Sus scrofa: one gene and its partners. Each later gene encodes a partner of the first gene's protein in a complex. Links are inferred from orthologs where the notes say so. Each region holds a gene or a part of one and is shown on either strand. Other genes may lie near its edges.

The links.
Region 2: surfeit locus protein 1 (region 1) and SMIM20 share a complex: the UniProt entries of both Homo sapiens proteins name them as parts of the MITRAC (mitochondrial translation regulation assembly intermediate of cytochrome c oxidase complex) complex. The link is inferred for Sus scrofa from reciprocal best matches to the Homo sapiens genes SURF1 and SMIM20.
Region 3: surfeit locus protein 1 (region 1) and CMC1 share a complex: the UniProt entries of both Homo sapiens proteins name them as parts of the MITRAC (mitochondrial translation regulation assembly intermediate of cytochrome c oxidase complex) complex. The link is inferred for Sus scrofa from reciprocal best matches to the Homo sapiens genes SURF1 and CMC1.

What each region holds. Positions count from the first base shown.
Region 1 is NC_010443.5:272,967,588-272,971,714, forward strand, and holds the start of surfeit locus protein 1, read right to left. Parts: upstream 2,900-4,127; 5' UTR 2,885-2,899; coding exon 2,813-2,884; intron 2,721-2,812; coding exon 2,669-2,720; exon of another isoform or gene 2,479-2,668; coding exon of another isoform or gene 2,394-2,478; intron 1,814-2,393; coding exon 1,680-1,813; intron 1,596-1,679; coding exon 1,513-1,595; intron 363-1,512; coding exon 171-362; intron 1-170. Other genes in the region: SURF2 (surfeit locus protein 2), read left to right, coding at 3,003-3,080, 3,166-3,320. UniProt on the Homo sapiens protein: Component of the MITRAC (mitochondrial translation regulation assembly intermediate of cytochrome c oxidase complex) complex, that regulates cytochrome c oxidase assembly.
Region 2 is NC_010450.4:19,699,658-19,703,933, reverse strand, and holds the start of SMIM20 (small integral membrane protein 20), read right to left. Parts: upstream 2,893-4,276; 5' UTR 2,776-2,892; coding exon 2,667-2,775; intron 1-2,666.
Region 3 is NC_010455.5:14,751,680-14,755,275, reverse strand, and holds the end of CMC1 (COX assembly mitochondrial protein homolog), read right to left. Parts: intron 847-3,596; coding exon 726-846; 3' UTR 587-725; downstream 1-586. UniProt on the Homo sapiens protein: Component of the MITRAC (mitochondrial translation regulation assembly intermediate of cytochrome c oxidase complex) complex, that regulates cytochrome c oxidase assembly.

The DNA of each region.
Region 1 (4,127 bases):
GGATCTGTTCAGCAGTAAATTAATGGCTTTAATGCTAAAATTACACATTTCAAACTCAAAAAGCAACTGAACTTGTCTGAGTATCCTGGGTGCCCTGGGGTTGGGGGCTGAGAAGCAAAGCCAAGGAAATGAACGCCTCACAGGCCAGTCGGCCCCTGAGCCCCACTCACCCCAGGTCAGTGCAGTGGAAGGGAGTGACAACGTGGGCGCCACTCTCGGCGGTTGACGACAGCCGGCCGGCGTCCCGGGCCTCCCGGGCCGGGTCCACCATGGTCCTTGGCATCAGGTACAGCTCCTTGGAGTGGTCAAAGTGCCCCCTGACCTTCACCGGCCTGTACTCCAGGTTTCGCAGTTCCAGTGGGCTACAGGGAGAGGAGAAACGGAGCTGGGGCCGCGCAAGGTTTGGCAGGAAGACGAACCCTTTGGATCTGCCATGAAGCCCACGGTGACTGAGGTGCCCTCTGAAGGAGGAAGCCGGGGCCTTTGATGCCACATGGGAATGTGGGTCTGGGCTGCCCAACGGAGCAAGTGTTCAGGAAAAGCTTAGAGATGGACTCCCGCATGAACGGGATAAAACACATGAGCCAAAGCCACATCCGCAAGCCAAGTGGGACCCACTGTTTGCTGTCTTGAGCGGAAAGCATTCTGATTACAGCTGTTCCTCTAGGATGGGGCTTTTATTTTTTGTTTTTTAGGGCCGCACCCGTGGCACATATAAGTTCCCAGGCTAGGGGTCATATCAGAGCCACAGCCACGTGGGATCCAAGCCTCTCCTGTGACCTAAATTACACCTCGCGGCAATGCCGGATCCTTAACCCACCAAGCAAGGCCAGGGATGGAACCCACATCCTCATGGTTACTAGTGGGACTCGCTGCTGCGGCACAACAGGAACTCTGGATGGTGCTTTTAAATGAGGGGACAGGGGAGTTCCTGTTGTGGCTCAGTGGTTAACGAATCTAAGAACCATGAGGTTGTGGGTTTGATCCCTGGCCTTGCTCAGTGGGTTAAGGATCTGGCATTGCCGTGAGCTGTGGTGTAGCTTGCAGACGCGGCTCAGATCCCGTGTTGCTGAGGCTCTGGTGTAGGCCAGCAGCTACAGATCCGCTTAGATCCCTAGCCTGGGAACCTCCATGTGCCGCGGGAGTGGCCCTAGAAATGGCAGAAAGACAAAAAATAAAAATTAAAAAAATTAAAATGAGGGGACAGGGCTGTAGACTCACTGGGCACTTTTTCAAAGTACTTCTCCTGTCAAGAGATACGTGTACCCTAGCGCTGGCTAAGAATGACTGCTATAGAGGCCATCCTCGAGGGACCCTTGCTGCACAGGGCATGGAAAAAAAGGTGAATCCCAGGTTCAAAAATTTTCCTGTGTATGTCAGGCAGTGTCACAAGGGCAGTCGAGTGACAACAGGAAGCCTAGCAGGCCCACTGATGTGAGAGCTCCCATCAGGGTCAGGAAGGCATGTGACCTCCGGCCAGCGCAGCCCTGGTGGGCAGCCACATACACTCACTCTGCGGGCAGCGGGATGGGCTCAGCCATAATCCTGGACTCCAGTTCGGCGATCAGCTTTAGCTTCCACTTCCGACGCTGGACCTACACAGACACAGAGCATTAGCTCGAGCGGGTGGCAGCAGGGTCAAGGGCTCAGGGCCAGGAGAGCCAGAGGTCAGGCTTTACCTGCCATGTCCCCAGGCCAAAGGCAGTCCCAGGAATGAGGAGTAGAAACCACTGGAGAAAGGCATCATCGTGCGCTTTTGCGGCAGTCGCTTCAGCTGAAGAGCTGCCACTCCTGCTGGGCCTCCAGGCCAGCCCTAGGAGATGTCACAACATGGGCATGGGGCTAGAGGCCTGGGACAAAGAAGTGGAGGCTCCGAGTTCTCAAAACTGCCACTATTGCCAAAGAGAACATGGGCCGGGAGGAGGGCACAGGCCACCGTGTGCAGTCAGGAGCCAACCAGCAGCCCAGCCCTGCCCCTACCCAGTACCCGGGCCTTGACCCCCACTCAGCGGACGTTCACTGACGAGGAGATCTAGCATTCAGTCCTGGCTCTGCCACCAACCATGACCCTGACCGATTCACATAACCAACCCGTGCCTTTCGCACAAGAACCCGCTAAGATGCATCCTATCACGCCGACCACACAGGTCCACCAGCCACAGTGCTCTGAAGAGAGCGTGAAACACTCAGGACAGTGGTTTACAGAGCTCTCAGCATTTAAACCTCGAAAAAGGTACACAGAAAGTGCCTTTAGACACTCAGCGGGCGAGTGCCGTCAACGGAAAGCATCATGGGTTTGGGGCCGCTAAACAAGCTGGTCTGGAGCAGGCTTGCGACCTTTAAATGTGCACCGCACTCCACACACACACACACACGATTGCCCTTTGCTGTACCCGGGAGGCAACGTGCAAACCGTCGCGACTGGTTGTGCTTTTCTTCAGGATCCCGGACGGTTTCAGCCTTGGGCTGGCCCCGCATTAGTCCGAGGAGGTGTCTGGGCAACTACCGCACGTCTTCCGCCGAGGGCGTCGGACTGCCGCATGGGACGGGCCGGCGCGTGGCCAGGGCCTGTCCCCGAGGCGCAGGAGGCAGTTCCAGGGTTCATCGTGACCCCATGACCCCTGGCAAAGTGCAGGGCAGCTTTCCCAGGTGCCAAACGACTCCTCACCTGGGCGCGAGATGACCCCAAGGACGCTCCTCCCGACGGCGCGGGCCGGGGCCTGCGGAGACGCGAGGGGCCGGCTGAGCTCGTCCAGTCCGGGCGCGCCCCCCAGCCGGGCCGCCCCCCGCCCGGGCTCCCCGCCCCGCTCACCCGCCCCGCGCCCGCGGCGCGGAGCACCTGCGCCAGCCCCGCCGCACGCAGCCCCAGCCACCGCGCCGCCATCGCCCCGCGCGCGCGCGCTTCCGGCGCCCGGAGGCGTCTGCTTCCGGGGCCCGCCCGGCCCCGCCCCCGGCCCACGTGGTCCAGCGGCGCTCAGCTGCGGGTCCGCGCGCGTGGGACCATGAGCGAGCCGCCGGCCGAAGTGGTCGCCTTCCTGCGCGAGCACCCGAGTCTGCGGCTGGAGCCCGGCGCCCTCAAGGTGGGCGGCGGGATCGGGACCCCCAGACCGCCCCCGGGACCCCGGCTGCCCGGCCTCCCTGACCGCCCCGCTCTCCCGCCGGCAGGTGAGGTGCGCTCTGACGGGTCATGAGCTGCCTTGCCGCCTGCCCGAGCTCCAAGTCTACACCCGCGGCAAGAAGTACCGGCGGCTGGTGCGTGCCTCCCCGGCCTTCGACTACGCCGAGTTCGAGCCGCACATCGTGCCCAGCACCAAGAACCCGTACGAGCCGGAGGCGGGGCGGGCCCTGCCCGGGAGGCCCGGGGTGGGACAGTTCCTAGTGCTGAGTCTGGCTAGGGCCGGGTAGACTCCGCAGCCCCGACCCCTCCCCGCTAGGTGGGCGCTCCTCTAAGACGCCACCAGTTCCGCGGCGCCCACCCTCCCTTGAGTTAGGGCCCCCGAGATCCAGGTGGGAATCCTGGAGCTGGGCGTCACCTGGGACCTCAGGCGAGGCCCGGTCCCCGTGCATGTTTGCTTTTTTGTAAAGATGAGGTTTGTCTCCTGGGCCTCTTTGCTTCATAGAGGGTTGGAGCGCTTGTGCTTTGTCACCTGAGGTTCGAACGCTGGCATTTTATCTTTAGTTGAAAAGAACTTTGATTTAGCTGAGAGCACCCGGTGGACAATACTAGTCTTAATGAAGAGGGCGCTGGCAGATGCTCCCACTGTCGCACACCTTCCCAGGCTATCACCAGCGCACCTCTCTCATGCTGGAGCAGTCTGGAGAGGCTGGCTCCGCCTATTGAGAGGCCACTGTCTGGGGGAGGGGTTCCCCCCCAGTTCAGAGTACAAGTGCTTGGAAGCTCTATAAGAGTCCCAAAGTTCCCTGGTGGCCTCACGGTTAAGGCTCTGGCATTGTCACTGCTGTGGCATGGCTGCAATCCCTAGGTCAGGAATTTCGCCATGCCGTGGGTGCAGCCAAAAAAAAAAGACTCCCAGTGCCCAAGCCACATGGTAGACCTCCCCCGCTCAGACTCTCCGGGGTGATTCTAAGAGCAGCCACAGTAGACAGCCACTGGTCTGGAACCTCGC
Region 2 (4,276 bases), on another chromosome or scaffold:
TCCCATGTCTGGGACTCATCGGCTGTGGGTCCTTATGCAGGTTATCTGTTCCATACCTCAGTCTGTGCACATATAAAATGGGGATGATGGGAGTTCCCATCGTGGCGCAGTGGTTAACGAATCCGACTAGGAACCAGGAGGTTGTGGGTTCGATCCCTGGCCTCGCTCAGTGGGTTAAGGATCCAGCGTTGCTGTGAGCTGTGGTGTAGGTCGCAGACACGGCTCGGATCCTGCGTTGCTATGGCACCGGTGTAGGCCGGCAGTTATAGCTCTGATCAGACCCCTAGCCTGGGAACCTCCATATGCTGCGGGCGCGGCCCTAAAAGGACAAAAGACCAAAAAAAATTAAAAAAAGAAAGAAAAGACAAAAAATAAAATAGTTTAGAGTAGAGTAGAATAGAATAGAATTAAAAAATAAAACAGGGAGCTAGTCACACAGCAGCTACCACAAAGGGTTGTTATGAAAACCAAATGGGTTAATATATATCAAGTGCTTGCAAGAGAGCTTTCAATAAATATTAGCTATTTAGTATTATTTACTTTTTTAAGGAATCAGTTATGACTCTCAGATAAGAGTTGTTCAAATCAATTAAAATTGAACCAGAAAAGCAGGCAGCTGTAGAATGCCTTACAGTTAAAAATGCAGATACTGGAGCCACATGCACTAAATGTTCACTTTAAAGGCCTCATTTGTCTATCTCAAGGTGACTCAGGCAACCATAGACTCTGGACTACTCCCCATCCCGCCTTTTTTTTTTTAGGGCTGCACCTGCCAGATATGGAAATTCTCAGGCTGGGGTCGAACTGGAGCTGCAGCTGCCAGCCTACAGCACAGCCACAGCAAGTGCCAGATCTGAGCTGCACCTGCGACCTATGCTGTATCTTGTGGCAATGCTGGATCCTTAATCCACTGAGCAAGGCTAGGGATCAAACCCTCATTCTCATGGATATTAGGTTCTTAAACAGCTGAGCCACAATGGGAACTCCCTGGACTATTCCTTTAAGACTGTCATTGGGAGACACAGCACAAACCCACCTTGATCATCTGCCCTAGAGCAAGGGTTTCTCAACCCAGCACCACTGGCACCACTCGCATCTTGGGCTGGGTAATTCTTTGTTAAGGGGTGGGGGCTGCCCTGTGCATTACAGAGAGTTTAGCAGCACCCTGGCCTCTATACACTAGATGCCAGGAGCACACTTACTCCACCCACCCCACCCATTTTGTGACCAGCAAAAACGTCTCCCGATAGAACTAAATGTCCCCTGGGGGACAAAAATCATCCCCAGTTGAGAGGTACGGCTCTAGTCTTCAGAACTGAAACTTTTCAAGTAGGATCCAAAGTAGATTCCCTTGTCCCAGCTTCAACTCTAGGGGCTATAATACAATAGCCCGGGGCAAGGACCAAGTAAGAAGGGATAAAACAGAGAGATAACGCAGGGCTTCCAAGGTCCCATGTTTACCCCCACGCGTGGTCACGCGTGGTCACGCGTGGTCACGCGTGGTCACGCGTGGTCACGTAGATAGATAGGCTGGAAGGCAGGGTGCAGAGGCCATTTCAATCTTGACTGATGAAAAGAAGCTACAAGAAATTTGAGTGTGTACTTAAACCGCTCTGCCTCAGAAACCAGATGTTGTAGCATTTGTAATGGTCAGAGCATTTATACAGCACTTTTGCCTTCAAATCACCAAGCTCACAGCCTCCACTGATATTCTCAAGGGGCAAGGTTGGCCCTTTTCCATCTTCTAGATGATTCAGGTTTCCTGGAGAACAAAATGAGCCTCTAATGCCTAATATTTTCTCTCTGACAGATGGTTTCAGATGTATCAAAGTGCTAATCCTTGCTGAGGTATAGGTCTCAAGGAAGGGGAGTGTGGCTTTTAGAATGATAGGACTGGAATGATTAAGGAAGAAAATTACTCCCAGGATATTCACCATTGTCATGTGAGTAACCAGCTTAAAATGAAGGAAGATAGCAGAATCTGAAGGAAGATTTGAGGAGAAAGAAGAGGAAAAACCCAAAACCTCAGGTTAACAGTTTAGCTCTGAGACATTTCTGATCAAAGACATCTTTGGGAGCGGAAATGAAGTGCAATAAACACATCTGCAAGTTCAGGACAATTAGGGCCCACCTCCCTCCCCCAATATCACCTTCCCAGCTTCAGTACAAGGAAGAAATTCTGGAGACAGAGGCCTGGGTTGGAATACGTGTCTTGCCGCTAACAGCTGTGTGACTTTGGGCATGTTACACAACCTGAGTCTCAGTTTCCCCGTCTGTAAGACAGCAACATGTACCTCAAAAAAAGGTGTAAATTAAAAGATCCTATGTGCATTAACGAGACATAGAAGCCTGCAGTGAATGTTAGCTATGAATATTAACTCGTATTTAGTGTTGACCTACGACGTGCAGACTGCCTTTGAGTCTCAGCAGAGGCTAGACGGTTTTATTTTAAGATACTACAGAAACACATAACTACTGATGAAGATAGTGAGGGCCCAAGAGGTGGAGTCACTTGTCCACGGTCACAAAGCTGCACACAAAGGATTCGAACCCAGGTCTCCCTGACTCGCGAGCCAAGCTCTGCCCAAGGCCCCACGTGGAGAGGATGGGGAAAGAGAGGGAGTCACTGGGACCAGGGCACCGCGTGGTGGTCAGAGGTCACTCACGGTACTCCTCCAGCCGCATTAGGGGCCGGAAGTAGATGGGGTAGAAGGCGGCGCCGATCAGGGTGATGAAGCCACCAAAAATGAGCGCGGTGCGCAGATTCGTGGACATGGCTCTGAACCGGGCCTTCGCTGACCCGCTGAGGACACCGAGCTCTCGCAATCCTGGCTCCTGCCCGCTGGGTCGTGACCCGGCTGGGAAGTGGAGAAACGGCTTTTGCTTCCGGGCCTTGTGGGCGGGGCTAGGAGGCGGAACAGGGGCGGGAAGAGGTTGGGTCAAGGGTGGCACCGAAGGCGGGGCTTAGGACTGGGTGGGGCTAGGGCAGGGGGTGGGGCTGGGGCGGGGGTGGGACTAGGGGAGGAAGGGGCGAGGCGTGTAACCCCACGCACCGCCTCCGGGCGGTGCCTGGCAGCGCCTGGCTGCCTGGCTCCGGAGGGCGAGCGCCAGCTGGGAGAATGGAGAGTGGAGCTTTTATTGCTCTTGATCTCAGTTCCGCCCCCTGCCCTAAACCGGGTTCACCTCTCAGCCGCTCCACCCACACTCTTCTGACCTCGTTACCACTCCCTCCTTTACCAACCAAACTTCCTTCTTCCACCACTGGTTTGATTTTCATGACTCCACCAAGAGGTGGATGCTCTCTAGGGCTCATTGATTTAATCCACATATCTTTTACAGATGAGGAAATCCTGTCTTGGCTGCATGATTTAAACAAGTTGCTTGGCCTTAAGGGCGGTTTGAGGGGATTAGAGACAAATGCAAATCGCCTGACCCTGGATGGCCAGCAGGGGCTTCTGAACCAAGGCTAGCTTGGGAGGAATATTATTGCAACATCCAAACTACAAGTAAATCTTTTCTGACTCTGATCTTCCATGCTCTCCTCTCTCCCTCTTCCCTTTGTTGGATGTCAGGATTACGAATGAGGATGGGGAATAGAGATCCGTGCAGGGCAGGGAGCCAGCAGCCAGTTCTACTAATGGGACCTTGGGGCTCTGCCTTGTTGCCTGGGGTGGAAGCCACTGAGGACAGATCTGCTTCCTCTTCCTGTGATTGCCATCCTTCATGTTTCTGGGGGGGGGCTGTGTCAGTATATGACCCACCCAGCGGTACTGGACAGCTGAGACTAAGATTCCCTGGGCTTTCACTCAATCGTTTTTAAATAAGAATGATACCAGCAGCTGGGGGCTGGGGAACAAATCTTGACCCCAGCATCATTATTTAGTGCAGAAAAGATTTACGATCTTTCGGAAATGGTGTGGAGGTCACAGGTTTCCTCTTTTCTTTGTAGTTTTGTAGTTGAGTCAAGCTACTATGTACCTCTGTGGTTCCAGAAGCATATAAATCAGGTATTCAATCTGTCAGCAGATTTATGGACTGTCCGCTGTGCCCCAAACATCAGGCAAAGTGCCACGGGGGACACAAAGATGAATAAGACATGACCCTTGCTCTCCAGGATCCTGTCATGTGGATGGAGGGACAGGACATATACATAAAAAGACAGCTAATGACCCGACACAGCCTGTTGCTGATGAGTGATGGAGTCTTGGGGGCTGCAGAAGTTCAGAGGAGGAAGACAGATGACTGTAGGTGAGATAACTGCTCCTCGGGTGCTTAC
Region 3 (3,596 bases), on another chromosome or scaffold:
GCAGGTTAAGGACCTGACTCTCCCTGAGGATGTGGGTTTGATCCCTGGCCTTGCTCAGTGGGTTAAGGTGCTGTAGGTCAAAAATGCAGCTCGGATCTGGTGTTGCTGCGGCTGTGGCATAGGCCTCAGCTGCAGTTCTGATTCAACCCCTAGTCCAGGAACTTCCACATGCTGCAGATGTGGCCATTAAAAATACTATACTCATACTACTACTGATAATAACTACAAAGAGCACTTACCATGTGCAAGGCACTGTCCTACCTACTCTACTTACCTGCAGTACTTGGTTAATACTCATGGTAACTATGAGACATATCCACAGTTGCTTAACTAATAAATGGTAGGTTCATAACCATTATGCTATACTGCCAAGTTACTACACCTCTGAAGGCTGTCCATTCCTGCTTTGCTTTAGTAAATGCTGGCCACATGAGGAGAGTAAGGTAAGAGTCATGTGGAAACTTAAGAAATCAGCTGTCACTGTTACAGAACCACAGTTGTGCAAAAGTTAATGGAAAATCCATAATGACCAAGCAGACCACATCCCATTTTACTACTTACTCCTATCCTATTTAATAAACTTAACTTTGAAGTTTGCAAGAACTTTATTTCAGATAAAATTATTTCCGTAATTAAGGGTAAAGCAAACACTTCCTTAAGTCCGTTATTTCAGGTGACTGTGATTTCCATGGATATTAGGGTTCCTGAGTATCATTTGACTTCGCCTACATGCTTGTGGGAAGCTTCTGTAGTCTTTTCTTGGTAGGAATCCCAGTTTTTCTGAATTCTTCCCTTTCCTTCAGATATTCCATTTTGCATTCTTCATAAAAGGCTGGATCATTATAGCTATAAGAAAGAAAAAACTTTTAAAGTGAATTACTTTGCAAGCATATAATATAAGCTCCCTTTCACAATACATTCAGACATCCAGTTCATCAGACACAATCTTTAGTAGCAGATTTTTAATAATGGTCAAATTTGTTGTAAACATTCAGCTACCAAATTAAAGGGAGAAAAAAAAAAAAAAAAGACCTAATAGGTTTTTTTTTCTGGATAGCCAGGAGAGAGAAACAGGAAGCTCGGCACCGTCCTCAGGAGTCCAAGATGTCAGAAGACAAGGCCTGTGTCACAGTGATGCATGTGGGTGGGAGACAGAGGCGTGGCCCAGCGCACCATGGAAACAAGGGAGCAGCAGGAGAAGGACACTGTCCAGGGATATTTGAACCACATTCTGAAGGACCAACAAAAATGCACATAGAAGGCACATGTGGAAAAGCCCACAGATGAGGAAACACTGACGGGCGAAGAGCTATATGTACACTAGTACCAGCATAGCAGTTTCTCAACAGAAGAAGGGGCTGAGGTGAAGCCAGAATGGCAGAGGCCCGGTCATGATGATCCATTCATGCCCCTCTAATAAGTCAGATCTACCCGAATGGGCACTATTAATATGACAGCTGTGAGATCAATTCTGTGTCTTGAATAAGTCTGACAACTTGTGGCAAAAGGCCAGCAAGGTGAGAGCAGTGTCCAATAAATAAACCAGGACCTTAACCCAGACAAGATGCAAAGAGGGCCTGAGCACAGGGAGGCACATCCTGATGAGAAGGGTGAAATCGCTCTGGGGGGTAACTCAGGAGATGAAATGAACAATTAGGAGCCCAGGAAGATTCTGGATTCTAGACGAGTGAAATTGACAAAGACACAGGATGCAAGAGTCAAAGGGCCAAGTCCAGTATGGGGCCTGAAGAAGAGAGCCAAGAAATGAATCCACGATTGACAGGAAGGAGCTGGATTCCGTGGATGTAAACTGACCTTTGTCATATTTGACAATGAGGAGAAGATCTGGCAAACCGACATGAAGGAAGAGGAGAGGAAGAAAAGGTCCAGAAGAGAAAGACAGAGATGCTGAGGGAAGAGAAAAGAGGGTAATGAGGGAAGCCAGGTCGAAGAGCATCTTAGGGGTTTCCAGAGAGGTCGAGTTTAGAAAGGATGGGAGGATACCTACTAGAAGCTTTAGGAAGAGCAGCTTACACCGGGTGAGGGCAGAAGTCAGACTGCAGTTTACTGAGGAACAAATGAGGATGAGACGGGGGACATAAGAGAACACAAACCATCAGTGTTTCAAGAGGTCACTGAAGAGATGAGAGGGTAGGAGCGCGTCCATGGGACGGCAACAGTAAATACAGCAGAGCATCTCTTAGCATATGTTGAGAATGAAGGTCAAATAACACATTCTCTGGGAACAGCCCTCCGTTCAATTTCAGCAAATGTCAGTCATGGCCTGTTGCCTTGCCTGCTTCCACCTAAGTGGAGGCCTCCCCTCTGTGTTCCCAGCCATCTCCCAGGATGGGCCAGAACCTATCATTTTTACCTTCCTATCTTCGTGGGGCAAGAGAAGGAAGGACATTCAAATGATTATGATGCAGATAACAGCAGTCAATAAATAACAAATACAAACTGAAAAACAGAGCTAACATTTACTGGGCACCCTGTGCTGGGGCGATGTGTGCATATGGGGGCCTCCAGGTATCCTGCAGCAAATGTCACGGAGGCGGTGCTGTGCTCTGGGGGACCCAGAGGACACGAGCCTGGCCGCCCTCCTGGCCACATTCCTGGGCCCTTTGCCCCAGGGCTGCCCACCCCAACCAAGAGGCATAGCTGATGATGATGACTGGCACCAGCTGAATAGCTTCTAGTCAACAAACATCTCTTGGAAGCTCCAGGGATCAAAACTCTTACTTCTCCAGTTAAGTGCTTAGTGCAGGTCCGGGCTCATAAAAAAGAGCAGCTGTTAGAATTGCTTTTAATCTCTTATTCACTGGAGAAAAGATATGTGGACTTAGAATATGTTTCCTCATGTATAAATGCGGGGACTAGTTTAAATAATCTCTAAGGTCTTCCAAGCCAGTATTCTAAAATTGTCTGTAAACTTAACATGTACATTATTCCTCATCAAAAAAGAAAACAAATATAAGATTCAGATAGTTACAACTTTCTTTTTACCTAACTGCCTAACAAGTGTCAAAACATCCTGATATAGATGGTTCCCAGGCCAGGGGAGGAGAACACGGAACGAAGGAAGGGCCGTCCAAACGTGAGGCCTCGCTGACGACTACCAACTAACTACTCGCTGAAGGACCACACTCTGCAATGCCAACAACGTGGGTAATACAATGAGTGAGGAGATGAGCAGAGAGCACCTGCATTCAATAAAACATCAGTGAACCTTACATATAAGAAGCACTTTTATGTTTTGGCCGTGCTTGTGGCACACACAGGTTCCCAGGCCAGGCACCAAACCCGCACCATAATAGCGACCTTAGCCACAGCAGTGACAACACTGGATCCTTAACCCACTGAGCCACCAGGGAAGTCCAGACCTAGAATTTTAATCAGATAAAATGCTGAAAAATACGTGTAACCTGAAAAGACCCTTCGTGAATATGTGAGATTTCCTTTTTTTTTCAGAACAATCTTTGACAAATTACAGTTTTAGACTTAGCAACAGTATGATGAATTTGGTGGGGGAAGAAGTACAGAATATATTACATGTAATGAGTTAAATACTATGCTCTTACCTAGAACACCTCTCT